Linked DNA regions of Macaca fascicularis. The protein of the gene in region 1 interacts with the protein of each later gene in a pairwise test. Links are inferred from orthologs where the notes say so. Each region holds a gene or a part of one and is shown in the gene's direction. Other genes may lie near its edges.

Region 1 (6,996 bases):
CCCAGCACTTTGGGAGGCCGAAGTGGGCGGATTACGAGGTCAGGAGATCGAGACCACGGTGAAACCCTGTCTCTACTAAAAATACAAAAAACTAGCCAGGTATAGCTGGCGTGGTGGCGGGCGCCTGTAGTCCCAGCTACTCGGGAGGCTGAGGCAGGAGAATGGCGTGAACATGGGAGGTGGAGCTTGCAGTGAGGCGATATCACGCCACTGCACTCCAGCCTGGATGACAGAGCGAGACTAAGTCTCAAAAAAAAAAAAAAAAAAAAATTTGAAATTGCAGTATGAATTTGAAATATTTGAAATATGCAAGGATAAAATTGTGAAATACTCATCTGCATATCTTATGTTTTTGAGTAAAACTGAAATAAGGATTATGTATGGGTTAAAGTCAGTTTTCTCTGACTCTTCATCTTTTGAATAAACAAATAGGTAGTAGATTCAAGCACAGAGAGTTTGCACCATACAGAATAAAATTGAAAGTAATGGTAATACTTTATTCAGTAACCCAAAGTAGAAGCCATGGAACCATCAATGATTCTTTAATTTCTGAGCCATCAGTGATTTTTTAATTTCTCTTAACCCTAATGTTCAGGCACCAGGTGCTGTCAATTTTATCTTTTAAATAATCTTTCATTCCTTTTATCACTGCCATATATCAGACATACTGTCATCATTGCCCACATTATTATAGTGGTCTCTAAACTGATCACGTTGCTTTCTTTTTTCTGTCTGCTGTGACCAAAAATTTTTTTTTTTTTTTGAGACAGAGTCTCGCTCTGTTGCCCAGGCTGGAGTGCAGTGGCCGATCTCGGCTGACTGCAACCTCTGCCTCCCGGGTTCACGCCATTCTCCTGCCTCAGCCTCCTGAGTAGCTGGGACTACAGGCGTCCACCACCACGCCCGGCTAATTTTTTTTATATGTTTAGTAGAGACGGGGTTTCACCGTGTTAGCCAGGATGGTCTCGATCTCCTGACCTCGTGATCTACCCGCCTCGGCCTCCCAAAGTGCTGGGATTACAGGCGTGAGCCACTGTGCCCCGCTTAAAATTTTTACTCTAAAACGTAAATATGATCATGTGATTTGCCTGCATCAAATTATTCATTGATTTCATCACACATAAAATGAAATCCACATTGCCAAGTGTGCTCTGACTTTTAGTTCTCTTTCTAAGAGAGGAAGTGTATTCCACTTACAAACATTGGTGATTCTTAAATAAACCCTCCTCTGTGGACACATTGTTCCCCTTTCCCTAGAATACCTAACTTTTTCCTCTTTATTTCCCCCACTCTTTTGCTTCATTAACCGCTCTTTTTCCACTGACACAGTTGGGCGTTCCTGACTCTTCCGCTCTTATTTCCACAAAATTTTGTTAGTGCTTTCCTTCCTTCTGTAGTCTAATAATATGTGTTGTTCGCCTTGCTCTTCTGTAAGGTCCTTTAGAGTGACAGTTGTGATGCCACCATGGTATCACTAAATCATTGTTATCAAGAAAGCATCTGAAATAATAGACACCATTTATTGAACATATATGTATATATGACACTTGGTAAGAATTTAGCACGTATAATCTGTAATCTTCACAACAACCCAATGAGGTAGGTGCTATTATGATTATTCCTATTTTACAGAGGCGGAAACTAAGAGATTTTAATTTTAATAACTTTTCTGTGGTCTTACTGTTAGGAAGTAGATGGGGTAGGATTCCAGAGGCCTCTTCTTCATACTGTTCTGATAAGGCCCACTGTGTTACCATTTCTCAGGATTGCTTGCATTCTAACAGGAGAAGCCTTAGTCGGCACTAAACTGATTAAGGGACCCTTTTTTTTTTTTTTAATGGAAAACATCTTCACACCTCTATTAACTCCCCTACTTGCAAGTACAGTTGAGTGTCTATTTACCTTTTCCCCCACAATTTGGATAATAAAAAATAGTAAAGTTACATATATTTTAAATAACTTTATTGACATATTGACATATAATTTATGTACAACAAACTGCACTTTTAAAGTATGCAATTTGATAATTTTTGACATACCTATACAACCTTGGAATCATCATCACAAGATAATTAACATGTCCATTGTCCCCCCTGCCTTTCCTATCCACCATATATTCTTGTTCTTAGGCAACCAGTGATCTGCTATTGTTCATTGTATGTTACTTTACATATCCTAGAGTTTCATATAAATGGAATCATGCAGTATGTGCTCTTCTGGTCTAACTTCTTTCACTCAGCATAATGATTTTGAGAGTCATCATGTTATTATATGTATCAGCAATTCATTCTGCAGATGCTTATTTTGAATTTTAGTTATTATAGAAAGTAAATAATTTTTTTTCTCTGTTGTATCTTTAGAAAAGGTTTACATGGGACTGGTGACACATTCTTTGAGCCTAAAGTCCCTCCTGGGGCTTGTTTTGATATACTATGTGTAAGTCCTTTAACATTTGAATGGAGATAGAAAAAACTTACATATGCTTCTGCAGGGATTTAAATGCATTTTCATTTTCAGTGAATGGTCTTTTCATTCAGTATTATGAATATGATGTAAAATCAAGCAGTTAAATACATTTAACTCACTTTAGGAGTGTAATATTTTACTTCTGAGTACTATCTTCTTTACCCTTCTTGGGGAATCTTGGGGGAAACCCTTCTGCTAGGTCTCACGTGGGAGGTGGATATCTCTGAAGTGGTTATCTCAGAAGTTCATATTGATGTTAGCTATAGATATTAAGCTATAAAGTGCTAACCAATCAATATGGTTTGAATGACTTGTTTTGACACTACATAGGGACTCAATCTGAATGGGAAAAAAAGGTGCCTCTCCCAGCCAATCTCCAAGATAACATTTCAACCTTGTTATTTAATGTTAGGAGGAAAAAAAAATCTTTATTTTAGTCTGCTGTTATGAAAAAACAGACGTGTTAAAATCCATTATTAATTGCTATATTAATCTCACTCACCTCCTCCTTTTAAAAAACTTTTCAGGTGCGTATAACCCGTATATAGAGATAATTGAACAACCCAGGCAGAGGGGAATGCGTTTTAGATACAAATGTGAAGGGCGATCAGCGGGCAGCATTCCAGGGGAGCACAGCACAGACAACAACCGAACATACCCTTCTATCCAGGTAATAGACCCTTCTTCTATGTCTATCTCGCTATTAGTTGCTTCATATATTAGCTATAGCAATTATTTTAAAGGGACAGTTTCTTAACAATCATCTCCACAGTTTTGTCTTTTTCTTTTTTCCTTTTTTCTTTTTCTTTTTCTTTTTCTTTTTCCTTTTCCTCATAATGTTTAGTCGCTCTACTTAGGTTAATACACAGCACCATATAGCTATCTGCAGTGGGGATAGTTGGCAGCTTTTGGATCATGTTCTTTTTCATGGAACACAAAGATAATAAGGAAAACCCATTCTCTACAGAGGTGGGTGATACTCTTCTGTAGATTAAACATAGGTTTGATAACTCAATCATAATTCTTCTTGGCTAGTCTTAGGGCTAGAACATTTTTTTGTCCTTTTTCTTACCTTTGTTGCTTGTCTCTGATTCTCTGGGTCATTGACTGATTTGAAATACCACTTTATAAATGTAGTTTTCTCACATTAGCATAAATTTTTAAAAGCTTTTGACTAAAAATGACTTTGGTAAACATACTAATAGTTATAAGATGTACTAAATTTATTTATTTATTTTTGAAATGGAGTTTCGTGCTTGTTTCCCAGGCTGGAGTGCAATGTCACAATCTTGGCTCACTGCAACCTCCACCTCCTGGGTTCAAGTGATTCTCCTGCCTCAGCCTACCGAGTAGCTGGGATTACAGGTGCCCACCACCACGCCCAGCTGATTTTTGTATTTTTTAGTAGAGGCAAGGTTTCACCATGTTGGCCAGGCTGATCTCGAACTCCTGACCTCAGGTGATCCACCTGTCTCGGCCTCCCAAAGCGTTGGGATTACAGGCATGAGCCACCGCGCACAGCCAAGATGTACTAAATTTATTTACTTATTATATATTTATTTATTTTTTTTTGAGACGGAGTCTCACTCTTTTGCCCAGGCTGTAGTGCAGTGTCACAATCTCTGCTCACTGCAAGCTCCACCTCCCGGGTTCACGCCATTCTCCTGCCTCAGCCTCCCGAGTAGCTGGGACTACAGGTGCCCACCACCACTGGTGCCTGGCTAATTTTTTTGCATTTTTAGTAGAAATGGGGTTTCACCATGTTAGCCAGGATAGGATGGTCTTGATCTCCTGACCTCGTGATCCACCCACCTCAGCCTCCCAAAGTGCTGGGATTACAGGTGTGAGCCACCACGCCCGGCCTATTTTTTATTTTTTTGAGACAGAGTTTCACTCTGTCGCCCAGGCTGGAGGGCAATGGCATGATCTTGGCTCACTGCAACCTCCGCCTCCCAGGTTCAAGTGATTCTCCTGTCTCAGCCTTCTGAGTAGCTGGGACTACAGGCGTGTGCCACCACACCCAGCTAATTTTTGTATTTTTAGTAGAGACGGGGTTTCACCGTGTTAGCCAGGATGGTCTCAATCTCCTGACCTCATGATCCGCTCGCCTCGGTCTCCCAAAGTGCTGGGATTACAGGCGTGAGCCACTGCACCCAGCCCAATGTACTAAATTTATATTTTCTATTTGTAAACTGTTTTTCATTTGAGTTTCAGTGAAGGGTTTATCCTTTAAATGCCAATTAAAAACTTGAATGGTAAAGTAGATTTTGAAGTGTTACTTTTTTTTTTTATTTGAAAAGTGTTACTTTTATCAACAGATCTTAATTCATTGTTTTATAACTAGATTATTTACAAAGTCTATTCTGTTGATGAACTTAAAGGGAATTGCTAAGTTATAGAATAAATCAGTGGCAAAATTATATATTGAATTCCAGATTTCTATTTTTATCACATTTTTGGCAGTAGTATGGATTTGGGTTATCTAAGTCTTTTAAATGTTAAAATGGGTGAGATGCTAATAAAAAGGAACTAAGGAGCCGGGCGCGGTGGCTCAAGCCTGTAATCCCAGCACTTTGGGAGGCCGAGGCGGGTGGATCACGAGGTCAGGAGATCGAGACCATCCTGGCTAACACAGTGAAACCCCGTCTCTACTAAAAAATACAAAAAACTAGCCGGGCGAGGTGGCGGGCGCCTGTAGTCCCAGCTACTCGGGAGGCTGAGGCAGGAGAATGGCGTGAACCCGGGAGGCGGAGCTTGCAGTGAGCCGAGATCCGGCCACTGCATTCCAGCCTGGGCGACAGAGCGAGACTCCGTCTCCAGAAAAAAAAAAATTTAAAAAAAAGGAACTAAGGAAATACTCTTTGGCCAGTTTTTTGAGTCATTTTTAAAGTTTTCTTCATAATTCGTCTTATCCTATGCATCTCTAAAATATTTCTAAGATCTGTATTTTTACTATTCCAGTAGGTCCTAAACACTTTACAGCTTGAGTTGTGTATTTGCCTACTTATAGTCTTGAGCAATTACCTTTACTTTCATACAGAAAGAAATGTAATACTTCCTGGTTACTTTCAAATTCTAATTCAAAATTATGGATTTTAGTTTCCTCTACCTCGTAAGCTAGCCATTCTTACTTTACCTTGCTCCTTTGTGGTATGCTGGTTTTTATATTCCCCGCTTTGTTCTTGCAAATTTACTAGCTTTCAAACTAAGCATTATTTCCTGTCCTCATTCCTCTTCCATGTTAAACTCTCCTTTTTACTCTGTGTTCTAAGATGTACTTTCTATGTGAAATTTGATGTTGTTAAACTCAATTTGATTTATTGCCTATTCTAGAGTGCAGTTGGGGTATGCTTACTGAAAAAATATTTTTGTGAAATGAAATGTCACATATTAAGTAAAATGATCATATTTATGTGCTATCCTTTCCAATATGGCTTAAATATATATTCAAGGAATGTTTATGGTATGACAGTACATTTAAGAGCTGGGCATTTAGTGACTTAACATCTGTTTTCTCATGTTCTATGATAAAATTTGGGTAGAGTTTTACTTGTTTTAAAAGGAAAATTAAGCAGAGTCAAATGATATGACCAAATGAAATTAGGGCAGAAAATATGTCAAGAAGCTGAGAGGTAAGTTCTTCTATACTGGTATTCTCTGGAAAGTTTCATCTAAAGTGCAGTTGTTTGTCAGTTGGACTTTATTTATTTAGTGCCAATTACATTATAATTAATGTAAATTGAACTCTCATTTAGTAGATCAGTTTCTAATGCGATCTATTTGGATCATATATTTAATTTCCCCCTTTTTTCAGATTATGAACTATTATGGAAAAGGAAAAGTGAGAATTACATTAGTAACAAAGAATGACCCATATAAACCTCATCCTCATGATTTAGTTGGAAAAGACTGCAGAGACGGCTACTATGAAGCGGAATTTGGACAAGAACGCAGACCTTTGTTGTAAGTACACAGCTACAGACATCTTCAGAAATAAGATGAGACATAGGACGTTCTGTTTCTTCTCCGTGACAGTCTGTTACTTTTTAGCAGAATAATTTTCTCATTCTACTTCTATTTACTATATTTTACACTTATATTTTTACTATTTGCATTAGAACTACCCTTTCATTCTTCATTAGTAGACACATCTTATGATGGTTAGCAGGAAGACATTTTTATTGTTATTAAAAGTAAACGTAAACTTATTGTATACCGTGATTTCCTTTCTTGGGGTGGACAGTTTTTGAAATAATTTTTCACTCTTTTTTTTTTTTTCAAGACGGAGTTTTGCTCTTGTTGCCTAGGCTAGAGTGCAGTGGCACAATCTTGGCTCACTGCAACCTCCACCTCCTGGGTTCAAGCGATTCTCCTGCCTCAGCCTCCCGAGTAGCTGGGATTACAGGCATGCGCCACCACGCCTGGTTAATTTTTTTTGTATTTTTATTAGAGATGGGGTTTCTGCATGTTGGTCAGGCTGGTCTCGAACTCCCAACCTCAGATGATCTGCCTGCCTCTGCCTCCCAAAGT
Region 2 (7,467 bases), on another chromosome or scaffold:
GCCTCCCAAATGCCAGGATTACAGGCGTGGGCAACAGCACCCAGCCAAGGCTCTACCTCTTAAAAAAAAGAACAAAAAGCCCAGGCGTCGTGACTTATGCCTGCAATCCCAGCACTCTGGGAGGGCGAGGCGGACAGATCACAAGGTCAAGAGTTTGAGACCATGCTGGCCAACATGGTGAAACTCTGTCTTTACCAAAATACAAAAAATTAGCCAGGTGTGGTGGTGTGCACCTGTAGTCCCAGCTACTTGGAAGGCTGAGGCAGAAGAATCGCGTGAACCTGGGAGGTGGAGGTTGTAATGAGCCGATATCACGCCACCGCACTCCAGCCTGGCGACAGAGCGAGACTCCGTCTCAAAAAAAAAAAAAAAAAGAGAGACAGGGCCTTACTCTGTCACACAAGCTGGAGTGCAGTGGCATGATCACAGCTCACTGCAGCCTTGAACCTCTGGGCTCAAGCAATCCTCCTACGTCAGCCTCCCAAGTAGCTAGGATTACAGGCCCACGCCACCACACCTGGCTAGTTTTACATTTTTTTGTAGAGACAAGGTCTTGCTATGTTTTCCAGGCTGGTCTTGAACTCTTGGCCTCAAGCAATCCTCCCACCTCAGCCTCCCAATGTGTTAGAATTTCAGGTGTGAGTCGCTGTACCCAGCACAAATCCAGATTTTTCTTCATCATGTTTAATTTTAACAGGGGTAGGGTGGGAAGTGAGGGCTACTATCCAACTATAAATTAAATTAGAAGAAAAATTATTAACAGGTTTAAATTCTATCGGTATGTACACCAGACAGCAGTTGATCACTGGGACCGGAGAAAGGCTAATTTACAAATAGTATAGCAAATACTATAATATTATGACTTTAAAGGCAAAAGTACCACTTTTAAAAAGAATTTGTTGGATATGAATTTACCTTCAACATTTTTCCTCTTAAATATTACTTTGGTTGTGGTGAACTGGCTCTGGAAATTGACTCCTTTTTTTTTTTTTTTTTTTTTTTTGAGACGGAGTCTCACTCTGTGGCCCAGGCTGGAGTGCAGTGGCCCAATCTCAGCTCACTGCAAGCTCCTTCTCCCGGGTTCACGCCATTCTCCTGCCTCAGCCTCCCGAGTAGCTGGGACTACAGGCGCCCGCCGCCTCGCCCGGCTAGTTTTTTGTATTTTTTAGTAGAGATGGGGTTTCACCGTGTTAGCCAGGATGGTCTCGATCTCCTGACCTCGTGATCCACCCGTCTCGGCCTCCCAAAGTGCTGGGATTACAGGCTTGAGCCACCGCACCCGGCCAATTGACTCCTTTTTACTTTTTTTCTTTTTGAGACAGAGTCTCCTTCTGTCACCCAGACTGGAGTGCAACGGCGCGATCTCAGCTCACTGCAACCTTGGCCTCCCTAGTTCAAGCGATTCTCCTGCCTTAGCCTCCCGAGTAGCTGGGATTACAGGCCCACGCCATCAGGCCCGGCTAATTTTGACCCCTTTTTAATTATAAAATGCCAATGCTGGAAGCCTCTAGAGATGACCAAATCCAACTGTTTAAAAATTCTTCTGGCCGGGCATGGTGGTTCACGCCTGTAATCCCGGCACTTTGGGAGGCTGAGGAGGGTGGACCACCTGAGGTCAGGAGTTCAAGACCAGCCTGACCAATATGGCAAAACCCCGTCTCTACTAAAATACAAAAAATTAGCTGGGCATGGTGGCGGGCGCCTGTAATAATCCCAGCTACTTGCGAGGTTGAGGCAGAAGAATTGCTTGAACTTGGGAGGCGGAGGTTGCAGTGAGCCGAGATCGCGCCATTGCACTCCAGCCTGGGCAAGTGAGACTCCATCTCAAAAAAAAAAAAAAAAGAAATTGTTGGCCTCATAATCCTTTGTTTAGATAAACTTGAAAACCCAGTATGTAAACACACAAGCAGAAATGCACTGATTGACACATACTAAATGGATCTAAATGGTACCAAGGATGACAGAAACATCCTCATTTTACAGATGGAGAAACTTGCCGGGTTTGTGCTTTCCTCCCGTCAAACCTTACCACTTTATTGTAACTATTCCCGCGCTTGCCTGCCTCAGTAGTACAAGCAGTTTGCCAACTACTACTTGCACGAACAACTAGCAGTTTGCACGCAGTCCTATATTCGGTTTAGGCATTCTCAGGCCTCACAGGGCGCTAAGGCCTTGCTGGCCCCTTGGTGATCAGAAGCTTCGTGCAACCCAAGAGCGTCCCAAGACGCCTGACGGCTGACTTTCCTTCTCAGGACCTTAGTGACAGGGCGGCCAGTCCAGCCTGGGAACCGCAGGGCCCGAGCCCCACTCTCCGGAGACCCGGGATCCGCCGCAGAGCAAAGCGCACGGGAGCGCCGGGGGCGGGAGGAGGGCACGCGGCTCTAGCGTTTGACCTCCTCCGGCTGGCCCTGCTGATCTAAGTCCCGCGCCGGGTCCCCACATCCCCGTAACCGGCGGAGAGGCCGGGGAGCCGCGACCGCTCCCCACGCTCCGGCCCCCAAGCCCCGCCCGCATTCCGCAGCCCCGCCCCTTACCCGCGTCAGAGCGCGCGGCGCCGAGGACCGCGGGGGACCCGCGCGTGAGCCCGGTCGCCGCCCCGAGGAGCAGCCAGGCGACCGCCCGAACCGCCGCCACCCGAACCGCCAGGACGCCGGAGGCCGGACGCCCGAGAGGGGCGCGCGGGGCCAGGTGCGGACGCAGGAAGGGGCCTGGCTGCCCGCAGCTCCTACGGCGCGCTGCCCCAGATTTACCGGCCGGGACAGAGGGCTGGGTGCGCCCCTGGCGCCCGCGGTTCCCCGCGGCCTGTAGCCCCGGCCCCCACAGGTTCCCGCGCGGCGTGAGGCGGCCGTCCCGGCCCCGCCGTTCCCCTCTCCGCCCACCCGGGGGCGGGCGAGGAGCTGCGCACGCGCGGGGACGCGCGCCCGGCCTGTTGCTGTGGAAACGGCTCGGCCAGCGCCCCCCAGAATCCCTGCACGCCGAGGTGGGAGCCGGTGGACCGTGCCCCCGGCCGGCCCCACCTCCGCTTCCCGGTGTTTGAGGGTTCGGGCCTCCGGCCGGGGAGTTCACCCCTCGGGCTCGTCAGTAGGGCTGTGGCTGTGGCCTCTTCCTGCAGCGCCAGGCTCCGCCCGGCCTCAAAGTCGGCTTAGGTGCTTTCCGTGCGCTGCGGTTGGGTGGAAAAACCCACGCCTGGGTGTTTAGACGTTGGCCTGCAGAAGATGTCATTTCTGTATTTCTCTAAGGGTAAGAAAGCCAGCCTTGCACTAGTGGAGACGTGAGTAGGGAAAGAATCGTCTACCGTTTGGCGACATCCGTACCCTTAGGTGCTGTGGGGCTTCCTAACAAGATTGTAGGCAGTTCCTGATCTCTGGAGAGAGGAGTATTCGTGTCCAGGAAGAATAATTGTATAAACGTGGCCTCCTTCTTCCTGAACAGAGTGTAATCTGTAAGCAGGCCAAGAGAGCACAGGCGGCTTGGAGTGGAATAGAGGGCTCTAGAGCTGGTGTCTCAAAGGGGAAACAATGTATGTCAAAAGATACTATCCAAAACTGAAAATAGCCGGGCAAGGTGGCTCACGCCTATAGTCCCAGCACTTTGGGCGAATCACCTGAGGTCAGGAGTTCGAGACTAGCCTGGCCAACATGGCGAAACCCCGTCGCTACTGAAAATACAATTAGCTGGGCGTGGTGGTAGGCACCTGTAATTCCAGCTACTTGGGAGGCTGAGGCACGAGAATCGCTTGAACCCGGGAGGTGGAGGTTGCAGTGAGCCGAGATCACACCACTGCACTGCAGCCTGGGCGACAGAGCGAGACTTGTTTCAAAAAAATAAAAACTGAAAATGGTAGTATAAGCATGTTTCTTAAGAAATGGAGAGAGAAATTTTGGAAGGCATGCTTTTTAAAATTCAATCCGGCTCCGTATGAAGAGGAGTAGGGCCAAGGACTATAGTTTGTTGTTATAAGCCTTATAGAATTATTTTATATTCCAAATACAAACATTACTTCAACAAAAATTAAAGTTAAATTTTAAAAAGAGTCTAGTAAAAAAAACTACATTATTTGAGCACCAACTGCATACATCTTTGAGGAGTACAGCCACTGCGTCAGTGTGTGTAGTTTATATTGTGCCCAGTAGGTTCTAGTTTACTAACATCAAATTTTAGTTAGGTGAATTGGGAGTAGTATTCGTTGAAAAACAAAAAAAAGCTGGGCGCGGTGGCTCACGCCTGTAATCCCAGCACTTTGGGAGGCCGAGGCGGGCGGATCACAAGGTCAGGAGATCGAGACCACGGTGAAACCCCGTCTCTACTAAAAATACAAAAAACTAGCCGGGCGCGGTGGCGGGAGCCTGTAGTCCCAGCTACTCGGGAGGCTGAGGCAGGAGAATGGCGTGAACCCGGGAGGCGGAGCTTGCAGTGAGCCGAGATCGCGCCACTGCACTCCAGCCTGGGCGACAGAGCGAGACTCCGTCTCAAAAAAAAAAAAAAAAAAAAAGGAAAAGAGAAGGAAAAGAAGGAGAAAATGGTGTGGGATCATTGCATCAGATTAGAGGTAGAGCACAGTAATTTTTTAAAGTTTTTTTTTTTTTTTTTTTTTTTGAGACGGAGTCTCGCTGTGTCTCCCAGGCTGGAGTGCAGTGGCGTGATCTCGGCTCACTGCAAGCTCCGCCTCCCGGGTTCCCGCCATTCTCCCGCCTCAGCCTCCCAAGTAGCTGAGACTACAGGCGCCCGCCACCACGCCCGGCTAGTTTTTTGTATTTTTAGTAGAGACGGGGTTTCACCATGTTAGCCAGGATAGTCTCGATCTCCTGACCTCGTGATCCACCCGCCTCGGCCTCCCAAAGTGCTGGGATTACAGGCTTGAGCCACCGCGCCCGGCTAAAGTTTTTTTTTTTTTAAAGAATAGGCTTATCACGCTTTGGAGAGGCTGTTGTGCAGTGGCACCATCTCAACTCACTGCAGCCTCAAACTCCTGGGTTCAAGCGATTCTCCCACCGTGGCCTTTGGAGTATCTGGGACTACAGGTGCATGCTGCCATGCCTGGCCAATTTTTAAATTTTTTGTAGAGACATGGTCATGGGCTCACTGTGTTGCCCAGGCTGGTCTCAAACTCCTGGCCTCAAGGGATCTTCCCTCCTTGGCCTCCCAAAGTGTTGGGATTACAGGCCTGAGCCACCATGGCTGCCTCCATCTTTTTGAGATGGAATCTTGCTCTGTCACCCAGGCTGGAATGCAGTGGTACCGTCTCGGCTCACTGTGACCTCCACCTCCCAGGTTCAAGTGAGTCTCCTGCCTCGGCCTCTCAAGTGGCTGGGATTACAGGCACCTGCCACTATGCCCAGCTAATTTTTGGATGTTTAGTAGGGACGTGGTGTCACCATGTTGGCCAGGCTGGTCTTGAACTCCTGACCTCAAGTGATCTGCCCACCTCAGCCTCCCAAAGTGCTGACTGGGGTGAGCCACTGTGCCTGGGCTTATACGTGATTAATTTTCTAAGAGTAAAAATTCTCATGTCCAACAATAAGTGTGAATAATATGATTTTAGTACATCCATAAAATACAATACTTAGCAGTCGTATAAAATGTTACATTGTAGTAAAACATTTAATGACAAAATAATAACATATGTTGTTAAATTTGAACTTCAGGAAATAGCTTGTACGACCATGTGTGAAACATACTTAAACTATATGCCTAGAAAAAAGACTGGACACAATTAAGGGTGATTATTTTCTATATGTTTCCCCTCTCCTTTGCCCCCAGTATTCTACAATGAAGGTGTATAATCACTGCTAAGTATTTTATTAAAAGTATGTTCCTAATAGTGATTCTTCAGCAGAACTGAGTTCACGAAAATATCATACCCTATGCCACTTTACCTCAATGTTTCTTAACATTTACAAATCTTTCTGAGAATGTCATAGTCACATCTAAAGCACTGCTTAGGAGATTAAGTGTATTATTTGGGCATTGAGGGTGGGGAAAGGAAGGGAGAATAGTAAGTATTCATCTATTAATAGCTGTGCTTCTTGTAGCTAGAAGAATATCATATAGTGAGACACGTAGGCCAAAATAAAAGCCGTGCAGATGTTACTGACTTGTATATGAAGAAGATGATTCTGTATCAGGTCTGCTTTTTGATCAGGCTTCTAGACTGTAAGTGCTTACGAAAATGTACAGGTACCATCATTTTAATTCATAGCATTAAACAATGTATGGAATGCCTACTACTTTCCAGGTATTATGCTGAGATATTGTGGTGAAAAATGAATATGCCCCCACCCTCATATACCATATTGACTAGAAGGGAAGATAGATGATTAAATAAATAATAACGAAAAACTCTAGTAAATTGGGAAAGTACAAAGGAGACAGCTCTGGACTGGTGAACCTCTCAGGACAAAATGATTAAGGTTAAAAAACTCATAGTACCTTGATACCGAGGATGCTTGATATGCCCTTTTTTAATTGATAAATAGTAAAGACCCTATAGGTCAGCTATTGGACTGACTTAGGGGTTCATATTCAATCTTCAGTAAGAGTGCAGTACACTAAGAGGTTCACACTGGATTGCATCCCCAGATTCACATATGAACAAGTCTATATCCTTGAGAACACCAGAGAGCCTTAGGGATCCAACAAATTGAAACTAACCCAGGACCAAACTGAACCTTCAGGGCAGCTCTCAAAATAGGAAGCTCTCTTTGTGGTCGCTTCAGCACACATACACCACAATTGGGATGATACAGAGAAGATTAGCATGGCCCCTGCGCAAGGATGACACACAAATTCATGAAGATTCTACATTTTAATTTTTAAAAAATATTGAGCTTCACAGGCTGAGCATCTGTGGCCAGAGCTAGACTAGAATCGGATCTTCTGGGGCAAAGGGGCGAGGGGAATGAATGACATTTATCCAACACCTAGTTGTTTTTTCCCTGTAGCAGGAAGTCATTATGCAACTTACACATTTCCATCAGATTTCCTCTGACTTACCCTGACATGTACGTGGGAATGATGTGCACTGCCAAGAAATGTGGGATTAGGGTTCAGCCTCCAGCTATTGTCTTAATCTATGAGAGTGAAGTCAAGGGGAAAATTCGCCAGCGCATTATGCCAGTTCGAAACTTTTCAAAGTTTTCAGGTAACTTTTGTCTTATCTTGCCTCCTGTCTTAAATATTCTCTAAATACAGGTTCACATCATGACTCTGTCAGGGATTGGATGTGTGACACTGGATGAATTACTTAGTGTCAATGAGCTTCAGTTTCCTAATCTATAAAAGGGAATTTTTTTTCCAGTTTGATAATTAATAATCTTTTTGGGATTGCTACCTAGGTTAAATGATATAGCATTATGCAATAATATTAATTCCCTTCTCTCCTTCCAAATGTTTTTTATTTGTAGTCTTAATATTTTATTAATACCACTACTGCTATCTAAAAGCTATAATATCACTTTTCTTCTCAGA

Evidence for each region. The genes of interacting proteins can lie anywhere in the genome.
Region 2: the proteins of REL (region 1) and CEP19 interact in binary tests that used the Homo sapiens proteins (3 or more experiments, as listed by UniProt). The two-hybrid records come from large-scale screens. The link is inferred for Macaca fascicularis from reciprocal best matches to the Homo sapiens genes REL and CEP19.

What each region holds. Positions count from the first base shown.
Region 1 is NC_088387.1:61,077,651-61,084,646, reverse strand, and holds part of REL (proto-oncogene c-Rel), read left to right. Parts: intron 1-2,993; coding exon 2,994-3,136; intron 3,137-6,280; coding exon 6,281-6,429; intron 6,430-6,996. UniProt on the Homo sapiens protein: Proto-oncogene that may play a role in differentiation and lymphopoiesis.
Region 2 is NC_088376.1:2,118,009-2,125,475, reverse strand, and holds the start of CEP19 (centrosomal protein of 19 kDa), read left to right. Parts: upstream 1-2,541; 5' UTR 2,542-2,688; exon of another isoform or gene 2,689-3,215; coding exon of another isoform or gene 3,216-3,240; intron 3,241-6,703; exon of another isoform or gene 6,704-6,809; intron 6,810-6,941; exon of another isoform or gene 6,942-6,944; 5' UTR 6,945-6,999; coding exon 7,000-7,141; intron 7,142-7,467. UniProt on the Homo sapiens protein: Required for ciliation. Recruits the RABL2B GTPase to the ciliary base to initiate ciliation.